3 linked regions of the Macaca mulatta genome follow. The protein of the gene in region 1 interacts with the protein of each later gene in a pairwise test. Links are inferred from orthologs where the notes say so. Each region holds a gene or a part of one and is shown in the gene's direction. Other genes may lie near its edges.

Evidence for each region.
Region 2: the proteins of BNIPL (region 1) and MIF interact in a two-hybrid assay, tested with the Homo sapiens proteins (2 studies listed by BioGRID and IntAct). The link is inferred for Macaca mulatta from reciprocal best matches to the Homo sapiens genes BNIPL and MIF.
Region 3: the proteins of BNIPL (region 1) and GFER interact in a two-hybrid assay, tested with the Homo sapiens proteins (2 studies listed by BioGRID and IntAct). The link is inferred for Macaca mulatta from reciprocal best matches to the Homo sapiens genes BNIPL and GFER.

The regions. Positions count from the first base shown.
Region 1 is NC_133406.1:116,053,269-116,057,016, reverse strand, and holds the end of BNIPL (bcl-2/adenovirus E1B 19 kDa-interacting protein 2-like protein), read left to right. Parts: intron 1-1,510; coding exon 1,511-1,597; intron 1,598-1,780; coding exon 1,781-1,879; intron 1,880-2,354; coding exon 2,355-2,391; 3' UTR 2,392-3,278; downstream 3,279-3,748. Other genes in the region: C1H1orf56 (protein MENT), read left to right, coding at 3,534-3,748. UniProt on the Homo sapiens protein: May be a bridge molecule between BCL2 and ARHGAP1/CDC42 in promoting cell death.
Region 2 is NC_133415.1:28,066,982-28,069,694, forward strand, and holds MIF (macrophage migration inhibitory factor), read left to right. Parts: upstream 1-1,461; 5' UTR 1,462-1,542; coding exon 1,543-1,650; intron 1,651-1,839; coding exon 1,840-2,012; intron 2,013-2,107; coding exon 2,108-2,174; downstream 2,175-2,713.
Region 3 is NC_133425.1:3,203,562-3,207,292, forward strand, and holds the start of GFER (FAD-linked sulfhydryl oxidase ALR), read left to right. Parts: upstream 1-884; 5' UTR 885-967; coding exon 968-1,225; exon of another isoform or gene 1,226-1,384; intron 1,385-1,494; coding exon 1,495-1,691; intron 1,692-2,609; coding exon 2,610-2,772; 3' UTR 2,773-3,731.

The DNA.
Region 1 (3,748 bases):
CTTCAGCTTCAGCTGGCTGTGTTATCCAGACTGGAGTACAGTGGCATGATCTCGGCTCATTGCCACCTCTGACTGCCAGGCTCAAGCGATCCTCCCACCTCAGCCTCCCAAGTAACTGGGACTACAGGCATGGGCCACCATGCTCGGCTAACTTTTGTATTTTTTGTAGAGATGGAGTTTCACCATTTTGCCCAGGCTGATCTCAAACTCCTGAGCTCAAGTGATCTGCCCGCCTCCACCTCCCAAAGTGCTGGGATTATAGGCATGAGGCACTGCACCTGGCCACTTTAGCTTCTTTATCTGTAAAATGGCAATGATTATACTTTTGCCACTGGGTATTTGTGAAAAGCAATTAAATTAGTGTGGCATATTGCCTGGCACACAGGAAGCACTCTTCTCTTCTCTCAGTCTTGCTATTTATTTCCCTTTCCATACCTCCATTATCTTCTTCTCTGCCTTCATCACTGACCTATGTGTCTTCTCTGTCACCAGGCTGTAGTGCAGTGGTGCGATCATGGCTCACTGGAACCTCTGCCTCCCTGGCTCAAGCCACTCTCCCACCTCAGCCTTCCAAGTAGCTGGGAGTACAGGCATGCGCCACCACCATGCCTAGCTAATTTTTGTATTTTGTTGTTGTTGTTGTTAGAGACAGGGTTTTGCCATGTTTCTCAGGCCAGTCTTGAACTCCTGAGCTCAGGTGATCTGCCTGCCTCAGCCTCCCAAAGTGCTGGGATTACAGGCGTGAGACACTGTCTCTGGCCCTATGTCTTCTTTTCCTTCTCAGGATTTTTTTTTCCCCTTTTGTTTCCCCCATCTCCCTTTGCTCACTTTTCTCTTCTTGCCCCCTTTCCTTTTTTTGTCCTTGCTGGTCTTCTTCCACCTAGAGTTTTATAAGTAATCTTGGTCATGGAGCGATGCAAAAGCATGCAAAAGGAACTTACGCAAGGGTAGGGCACAAGAGGGAAATGGAGCAGAAAAAGACCAGGTGGCTGGGCACGGTGGCTCATGTCTGTAATCCCAGCACTTTGGAAGGCCGAGGTGGGCGGATCACAAGGTGAGGAGTTCAAGACCAGCCTGGCCAACATGGTGACAAGTCACCATCTCTACTAAAAATATATAAAAATTAGCTGGGCATGGTGGCGTGTGCCTATAATCCCAGCTTCTTGGGAGGCTGAGGCAGAAGAATTGATTGAAACCGGAAGGTGGAGGGTTGCAGTGAGCCGAGATCGCACCACTGCACTCCAGCCTGGCGACAGAGCGAGATTCCGTCTCAAAAAAAAAAAAAAAAAAAAAATCTGAAAGGAGAGTTTTTTAAAAGTGAGGATCATGGAGGGCTAAATAAGATGGGCGGAGCTGAGATTACAGCTGACGGAATGGGGATTAGACCCAAGTACCAGATAAATCTAGAAACTAGAGAAGTGAAGGAAGTTACAGTACAGAAAACAGTTCCACTTGATCTTCACACATAAAGGTGGAAGAAGAAATAGGATGATCTCCTGTTGTTTTTCAGGCTACGGAAAAACCTGCGAGCCCTGGTGGTTGTCCATGCTACATGGTATGTGAAGGCATTTCTGGCACTGCTTCGGCCCTTCATCAGGTACTAGTTCTAGGAACAAGGACTCCCTTCTCCTTCCCCCCATTTTCAAAATCAAGATTAAGATCTTTCTCCACCTTGATTCTTTCTAGCCTTAACCACTCTACTTCTACATTTTTCTTTGCAAGGATTTTTGGGAACCCTTCTCCCAATACAAAACACAGTTGGTTTATTCTCTCTTTTCAGTTCCAAATTCACACGAAAAATCCGTTTTCTGGACAGCCTGGGGGAGCTGGCGCAACTCGTATCCCTGGATCAAGTCCACATCCCTGAAGCTGTCAGACAGTGAGTTTCACACTTAAGGATAAAGCTTTGGGGGTGGGATGTGTAAAGCCAATCCCTACTTTTTTAATGCCTTGGGGGACATACAAAAGAACGAAAAGACAGAGGCCCTGCTTTTGGGTGCTTTAATATATATGGGGAAACTGCACACACCCAGAGAAGAAATGAAGGACACTATTGCATCCAACAAGAATAAATGAAAAAAAACCCTATATATATAAGTGCAGAGGCAATAAGGAATAATCACAGTGCAGAGGAGATTCCGACTGGCCCTAGAAATTAGGAAGAGATGTGTTGGAAGTGAACAGATGATATCCAGTGGGGGAGAGGGTATTAGGGAGCAAAAGTGCTAAATGATGACTCAACCCAATCATCTAGCTCTTCCAGTTCACCTGGCTTGTCTCCCCAAACCAGAAAGTAAAACCCAAGTCCTGCCCCTGAACCTCTTCTCTCCTCTCGTCTCCCCTCCCTCTCCTAGGCTGGACCGGGATCTCCATGGCTCAGGAGGGACCTAACACAGGACTGGATAAAAGGCCTTAGAACCAGTTAGTGATCTGCCTACACCTGAATCCCTGAAACATCTGAGCTGTTTTGTAAATCATCTTATCCCCAATCTCAGTACCACTGGATCTTCACTTCTCAGTGGGATTTTGTCCTTTGCATGACCCTGCCTTCAGCAGGGCTTTGAGACTGGGAAGCTGGTCTGCTGGGTGACTTTCATTCCAGTTGTTGGGGCGGAAGGCTGAATGTAGGGTCATTTTGTATGGGATATGCAGAGCTCTGGGGTTGTTTTGTTTTTTGAGTTGGAGTCCGGCTCTGTGGCCAAGCTGGAGTGCAGTGACGCCATCTCGGCTCACTGCAACCTCTGTCTCCTGGTTCGAGCCATTCTTCTGCCTCAGCATCCCGAGTAGCTGAGACTACAGGCACACACCACGCCCAATTAATTTTTTTGTATTTTTAGTACAGACAGGGTTTCACCTTGTTGGCCAGGATGGTCTTGATCTCTTGACCTCGTGATCTGCCCGCCTCAGCCTCCCAAAGTGCAGAGATTACAGTTGTGAGCCACTGCGCCCGGCCAGAGCTCTGGGTTTTAATCCTACTTTAGCTGTAGAACCTTGGGCAAATCATCTTTTTGGGTCCTCATTTTCCTCCTCTCTAAGTGGAGGGGCTGTGATCCTTCCACCTTGGATGGAAGAGGCTTACCTGACAGCCAGCCTGCCTGCTGGGAGCCAGGAGAGTCAGCTCCTTAAATCTTGAAGAACCCCTGTATGCCCTTTTTCCTTCTAAGTCATGTCTGCTGCCTGTGAGCCTGGGAAGGAGTGCTTTCAAAACCTGTATTTTGCGCTTTAGTAAATTTAGAACTGTAGAGACTAATAAACTGCGATGAGACATTTAAGCTCTACTCCAAAGAAGTGAACGACTCTTTCACCACCCCTTGCATCCCAAACCTTCTTTCGGTTCTGGCAGAGTTCTTGCCGCAGAGATTCCTTAGGAGCACCCCGCGCGGTGCGCGGGCGCCTGCGCGTCGAACCCCACCCCCTTCCCCGCGGGCCTCGGTTCAAACGACCCAGTGGGTCTAGAGCGGAAGGGAGGGAGCGAAGGTAGGAGGCAGGGCCTGCCTCAGTGGCCTCCCTCCCAACCCCAAGAGCCCAGCCCCATGGTCCCCGCCGCCGGCGCGCTGCTGTGGGTCCTGCTGCTGAGTCTGGGTCCCCGGGCGGCGGGGGCCCAAGGCCTGACCCAGACTCCGACCGCAATGCAGAGGATCAGTTTACGCTCTGCGGGCCCCAGGACCCGCAGCTACCGGAGCACCGCCCGGCCTGTTCTTCCCCGGAAGACGAGGATAATCCTAGAGGACGATAATGATGCCATGGC
Region 2 (2,713 bases), on another chromosome or scaffold:
GCTAAATCTGCTGCCTGGGGCTGGGAAACAGACTCCTCCCTCGAGAAGCAGCAGTCCACCATAGGGAAGTCACAGTGGTCCAGGCCAAAGGCAATGCAGCTAGTGCAGACTAGGCAGTAGTGCAGGGAATGGAGAGAAGTGGGAATAAAGGGATAGTGAAAGGAGGCACATTTCACTGGCAGGTGATCAGGTGTAGGAGGACAAGTCATATATCTGGACTTTACAGAGCAGTGGACACTCAGTCGGCTGCTGTCAGTGCCTGGGGCTTAGGGGAGTGCCCCTGGCTGGAGACATGGCATGGAGTGCCATCATTTAGGGAGCCCTGGACACAAGTAAGAGAAGGTGCGACAGCAGGAGGGAAAGAGTCTGGGGCCCAGCTGCAGGAACCAACACCCATAGGCTATTTGTATAAATGGGCCATGGGGCCTCCCAACTGGAGGCTGGCTGGTGCCACGAGGGTCCCACAGGCATGGGTGTCCCTACTATATCACATGGCCTTCACCGAGACTGGTATATGGATTGCACCTATCAGAGACCAAGGACAGGACCTCCCTGGAAATCTGAGGACCTGGCCTGTGATCCACTTGCTGCCTTGTCCTCTTCCTGCTATGTCATGGCTTATCTTCTTTCACCCATTCATTCATTCATTCATTCGGCAGTATTAAGTCAATGTCTCTAGTATGCTTGGCACCTGCTAGATGGTCCCCAAGTTTACCATTAGTGGAAAAGACAGTTAAGAAATTCAGCAAGGGCTCTATGAGAGGGCATACACGGTGGACCTGACTAGGGTGTGGCTTCCCTGAGGAGCTGAAGTTGCCCAGAGGCCCAGAGAAGTGGAGCTGCGCACGTTTGAACCACTGAACCTGGTCTCGACCTCACCACCTTCGGTGCCTCCCAGCATCCTATCCTCTTTAAAGAGCAGGGATTCAGGGAAGTTCCCCGGATGGTGATTCGCAGGGGCAGCTCCCCTCTCACCTGCCGCAGTGACTGCCCCTCCCCATCTCAAACACACAAGCTAACGCGTGCAGGGACTGGAGCCCTTGGGGACGCGTGGCCCAAAGACTCAGGAGGTACAGGGGCTCAGTGCGTGCAGTGGAATCAACTCGGCTTCATCTCTGGAAGGGCAAGGGGCCATCTTCCGGGTTCACCACCGCATCCCCACTGCCGGCACAGCGCCTCCTGGCGACTATCATCGGTGACTTAGTGAAAGGACTAAGAAAGACCCGAAGCGAGGCCGGGACAGGCCGATTTCTAGCGGCCAGGTGGAGAACGGTTTGGAACAGTGCGCCGGGCTTAGCGGCGGTTGCTGGAGGAACGGGCAGAGTCGCCCAGGGTCCTGCCCTGCGGGGCGGAGCCGAGGCAGGCGGTGACGTCCCCACTGGAGGCGGAGCCGCAGCCTCGCGGGGTCGGGGCCTGGCGCAGGTGGTGGCGTCACAAAAGGCGGGGCCGCAGTAGTGTCCGAGAAGTCAGGCACGTAGCTCAGCTGCGGCCGCGGCGCGTGAGTTTGTGCTTCTGCGCGGGTGTCCGGGTTCTTCTGCCATCATGCCGATGTTCATCGTAAATACCAACGTGCCCCGCGCCTCCGTGCCGGACGGGTTCCTCTCCGAGCTCACCCAGCAGCTGGCGCAGGCCACCGGCAAGCCCCCCCAGGTTTGCCGGGAGGGGACAGGAAGAGGGGGTGCAGGCCGGACGAGGGGGTCCCGCGCTGGGAGCTGGGGAGGCGACTCCCGAACGGAGCTGGGGGGACGGAGCGGGGGGAGGACGGTGGCTCGGGCCCGAAGTGGACGCTTGGGGCTTGGCGAGGTCGCTGGGGCGGGCTGACCGCGCCCCTTCATGCAGTACATCGCGGTGCACGTGGTCCCGGACCAGCTCATGGCCTTCGGAGGCTCCAGCGAGCCTTGCGCGCTCTGCAGCCTGCACAGCATCGGCAAGATCGGCGGCGCGCAGAACCGCTCCTACAGCAAGCTGCTGTGCGGCCTGCTGGCCGAGCGCCTGCGCATCAGCCCGGACAGGTACGCGGAGGCGCGGAGGCGCGGGGGAGGGGCGGCGGCGCGCGGCCAGGCCGGTGACTGAGCCGCCCGCTGAGTCCAGCCTCCTCCCCGCGCAGGGTCTACATCAACTATTACGACATGAACGCGGCCAACGTGGGCTGGAACAACTCCACCTTCGCCTAAGAGCCGCCGGGCCCCACGCGGTCCGCGCTGGCTGGACCCGGGAACCCGCCGCACGCAGTGTTCTAGGCTCGCCCACCCCAACCTTCTGGAGAAATAAAACGGTTTAGAGACCAGGAGTGCCTCGCTGTTCCTTGGCTTGCGGGAGGAATTGGTGCAGAGCCGGGACATTGGGGAGCGAGGCCAGGAACGGTGTTGGGGACGGGGGTCAGGGCGGGGTTGCTCCCCTCGGAGCCTGTTCGGGAGCCCTTTTGTCCAGTCTGTCCCTCCTACGCTCCCAACAGAGAAGCCCCAGTGTCTTTCCATTCTGTGGCCTATGAAGGGATGAGGAGAAGTTGGCACCCTGCCCTGGGCTGCAGACTGGGGATCTAAGGCGCTTTGCCCGCCCGAATCTGTTCTACCTAGGGCCACCACGTGGGGTGCTTGAGGTGAGCCCACTACGGAAGTGGGGGAGGAGGAGTTGGAGTTGAGAGTCCCAGGCCTTCTAGGCCTAGACCTTTCTCTCAGCCCCACCTCCCCCAGCCTTCTTGATGGGCAGAGGA
Region 3 (3,731 bases), on another chromosome or scaffold:
ACCCACCAGTTTGTACGTGAACATTTATGAGTGTGAGTCCTTGTTTTTTTTTCCTATCTTGACCACTGAATTATGAACAGAGGAGGTCAGGGAACAGAGCTGTGTTCCCTGCTCCGCCCAGCACCTGGAACAGCGCTTGGAACAGAGCAGTCACTGCACAAATAATAGCGGAATGGATAAATGAACGCAAGGAGGCAGAGGAATCGCAGAGGCCGCTCCAACTGGGAGCCCGACCCCTCACCCCAGGTTCTAGGGTCCGCGGCAGCTGGCGGGGGGCGCCGGGGAGCCCAAGGCACGCGCCAGCCCTCTGCGGCCGCGCCCCGCCCTGCGTTGCCAGGCGCCCGTTGCCATGGCGCCAGGGCGGTGACACCAGCCCAGAACCCTAGCGCGCGCCGCAATCTGTGCGGTCACGCCCGCCCCGCGTTGAGAAGGCGCTGGGCAGCCAGCCGGTGGGACGCGCCCCTCAGCGGAGGGCACAGAGCCTGGCCGCAGGAACGCAGGACACTCAGAGCGGAGCGATGGGGGCGTCGCGGGCCGCAACACGGACTTTGCCTGAGTGTCAGCCCAGGTCCACAGCGCGCCCGCGGCGCACCTTCCGCTGCGCACCTTCCGCCACACACTGCTCTTCTACTGGAGGAAGCGAGAGCGCCGCCACGGACGGCGCAACCACGGCGTGCGCCGCGGATCGAGGCCCCGGGGTGCCAGCAGGCTCCGGCCCTCCAGCTCCGTCCCTGCCCCTGGCCCCGGGCCCGGCCCCGCCCCGGTCCGCCCCGCGGCCTCTGGCTCCGCCTCCACACGGGCCCGCGCGCCGGCCCCCGCCCCCAACTCCGCCCCAAGCCCCAGCTCGGGCCCGGCCCCCGCGAGCACGGCGCGCGCCTCCGGCTACTGTAGCTGCGCGCTGGCCTGGAAGCTGACCTGGAGGCTCATCTGGAGGCCGAGCTGGCCCGGCAGGCCTTGCGCGGGCAACATGGCGGCGCCCGGCGAGCGGGGCAGCTTCCACGGCCGGAATCTCTTCTTCCTGCCGGGAGGCGCGCGCTCCGAGGTGATGGACGACCTGGCGACCGACGCGCGGGGCCGCGGCGCGGGGCGGAGAGACGCGGCCACCTCGGCCCCGACGCCAGCCCAGGCGCCGACCTCCGAGTCTCCTGTCGCCGTGGACGCCTCCCGGAGGCGGCCGTGCCGGGCCTGCGTGGACTTCAAGACGTGGATGCGGACGCAGCAGAAGGTGCAGATCCCTGCCCGACTTCTCCCAGCCCCGCGCAGCCGCTGCCCCTGCCCCCGCCCAGGTGCCCCGGCAGAGCTCCCCGGGGTTGCCTGTCCCTGAACCTTGCCCCCGGGTAAGCCCGGCCTTACAGCCTTCATCCGCGCGTGGGTTGGATCGTCTGCAGGGCTTTGGCCGGAGTCCAGTGGGCCACCGGCTGGGCCGTAGAAGGGGGAGCTTTGGGCGCTTCTGTTCGGAGAATGAACTCACTCTTGGTTGGCCTGCTTCCGCAGCGGGACACCAAGTTTAGGGAGGACTGCCCGCCGGATCGCGAGGAACTGGGCCGCCACAGCTGGGCTGTTCTCCACACCCTGGCCGCCTACTACCCCGACCTGCCCACCCCAGAACAGCAGCAAGACATGGCCCACTTCATACATTTATTTTCTAAGTTTTACCCCTGTGAGGAGTGTGCTGAAGACCTAAGGGAAAGGTAAGATGTGTTTGCACGCAGCAGAGCTTTGCACTGCAGCCTGGGCTGGGGCTCCTGGCTGACGTAATAGCGGGGAACATAGAGAAACGGATGCAGAGGTGGCAGAAGTTTGCTGAGGAGCAGGGACCTCCAACAGGTGAGGCCTGGGGCCATCTGAGCCTCCTCGTCTTGTCTCAAAAGCCAAACTGTTGGGATCTGCTGCTGAGTACTGCTCCTGCCACAGCCACAGGACTCCAGGAAGGGCTTCCCTGCCTTGTCTGGCACTGAAGACGGCTCCCCGCAAGTTAGGGAGGACTCCACTTTGCCTGACTTCTAGAGCAGGACTGCTGGTTTTAAAATCTTGGAAATCCACTGCTTTTGCCCCCAAGAGCCACCTCTTCCTCACTGAGGCATCCAAGAGCCAGCACTGGCCCTTGCGGGTGTTTCTAGACCAGATGTCTAGGGCAGAGTTGCCATTGTTGCTGTAAGCCTGGGCAGTTAGAATTAAGTCTCTTGCTGAACTGAGGCACCAGGGCCTCCCTCAGGTGCTAAGAAACAAGTCCAGTTTTCAGTTACAAGGCTGTGCCCAGCCCCACCCAGGCCACACTCTGCCTGAGGCCAGAGACGCTGGATGCCGCTTCCTGGGTGTTAGAAGCTTATAAATTTGCCAGGTCTGTGCTGTGATGTCTTGCCTTGAGGCCTCGTTGGAGTTTGCCAAGCTCTCCAGGTGGGTGTTTGAGCAACCCTGGGAGTTCATCACACCCGGGAGCTGCAGGGTCAGCCCTGTTCTGGGAATTCCTGTCCCTTGGAGCATAAGGGCACTCCCAGGTGTAGCTCACAGCAGTGCCCCAGTTGTCTTTCCTTGGGAGCAGACAGGGAACTGGCAGGGGCAGTGGAGCCGCTGCGTCCTCCCATTCTTTACATGCTCTCCCTATGCAGGCTGTGCAGGAACCAGCCAGACACCCGCACTCGGGCAGGCTTCACGCAGTGGCTGTGCCACCTGCACAATGAAGTGAACCGCAAGCTGGGCAAGCCTGACTTCGACTGCTCAAAAGTGGATGAGCGCTGGCGCGACGGCTGGAAGGATGGCTCCTGTGACTAGAGGGTGGTCAGCCAGAGCCCATGGGACAGCGAGCCAGGCGCCTATGGAGTGGCCTGGTTGGACAGGGGCAGGGCACTCATTAAAGTGCATCAGAGCCAGAGCCTGTTGTGTCTCAGTTGGGTGGTCCCCAGGACACTGCCCGTGGGGACCTGCCCTGCCCCTGTTAGGTTTGGAGCAGAAGTGGAGGTGCACACAGCAGGCACCCACTGGCCTCCTCCTCAGTGGAGGCCCCAAGGAGCTGCAGCTGAACTGCAGGTGAGGGAGGCAGGAACAGCCTGGGCTGCCCCTTGGCATTCAGGATGTGACTTCCTGCCCACCGCATACCCTGGTGCCTCGCTTCTCACACAGGAAGACAGCAGGCCTGGCTGGGCGTCCCTGTGCCTGTTCCTGGAGGCCAGGCCTTTGCCTTCCCACTATGCAGCCAGGCATGCCCCTGCCCCCCGTGGCTCTGTGCTGCTCACTTTAGGGGGCTCAGTTCTCTACTCCGCTCAGTCCCTACAGGGAAAGCTCAGGCAGGGTCTTTCTGAGGGTCCACCAGCCATCCTGCCCTCTCCCTGCCTGGCACATGCCTGCCAGCGTTGTGCCATGCCTGTCCACAGGGGATTCGTGGGGCCCGCTTCCTCAGAGTTTGAAGCCCAAATGAAACGTTGAAGTGACTGAGGACCTGGCTTCAGTGTGTTTTCTGCTGGGTCTTATAGCAGTGGGCAGGGCTTGTTCCATCCCTGTGTGCCCAGCTGCATTTCCTGCTGGGGTCCTCGTTCCTCAGGAGGAGAGAGATCCCTACATGAGAATGAGCTGGGAACAGCAAGGACGCTGATTGGTTGGGGCGGGGAGGCCAGAGTAGCTGATGCAGGGGCCCCAGGAGTACAGGGTGGCCAGACGGCACAAGGTCTCCAAGGCCCCGGCAGAGCCATGGCTTCTACTCCCAGCTCCCCTGACAGGAAGTTCCTGGTGGGTTT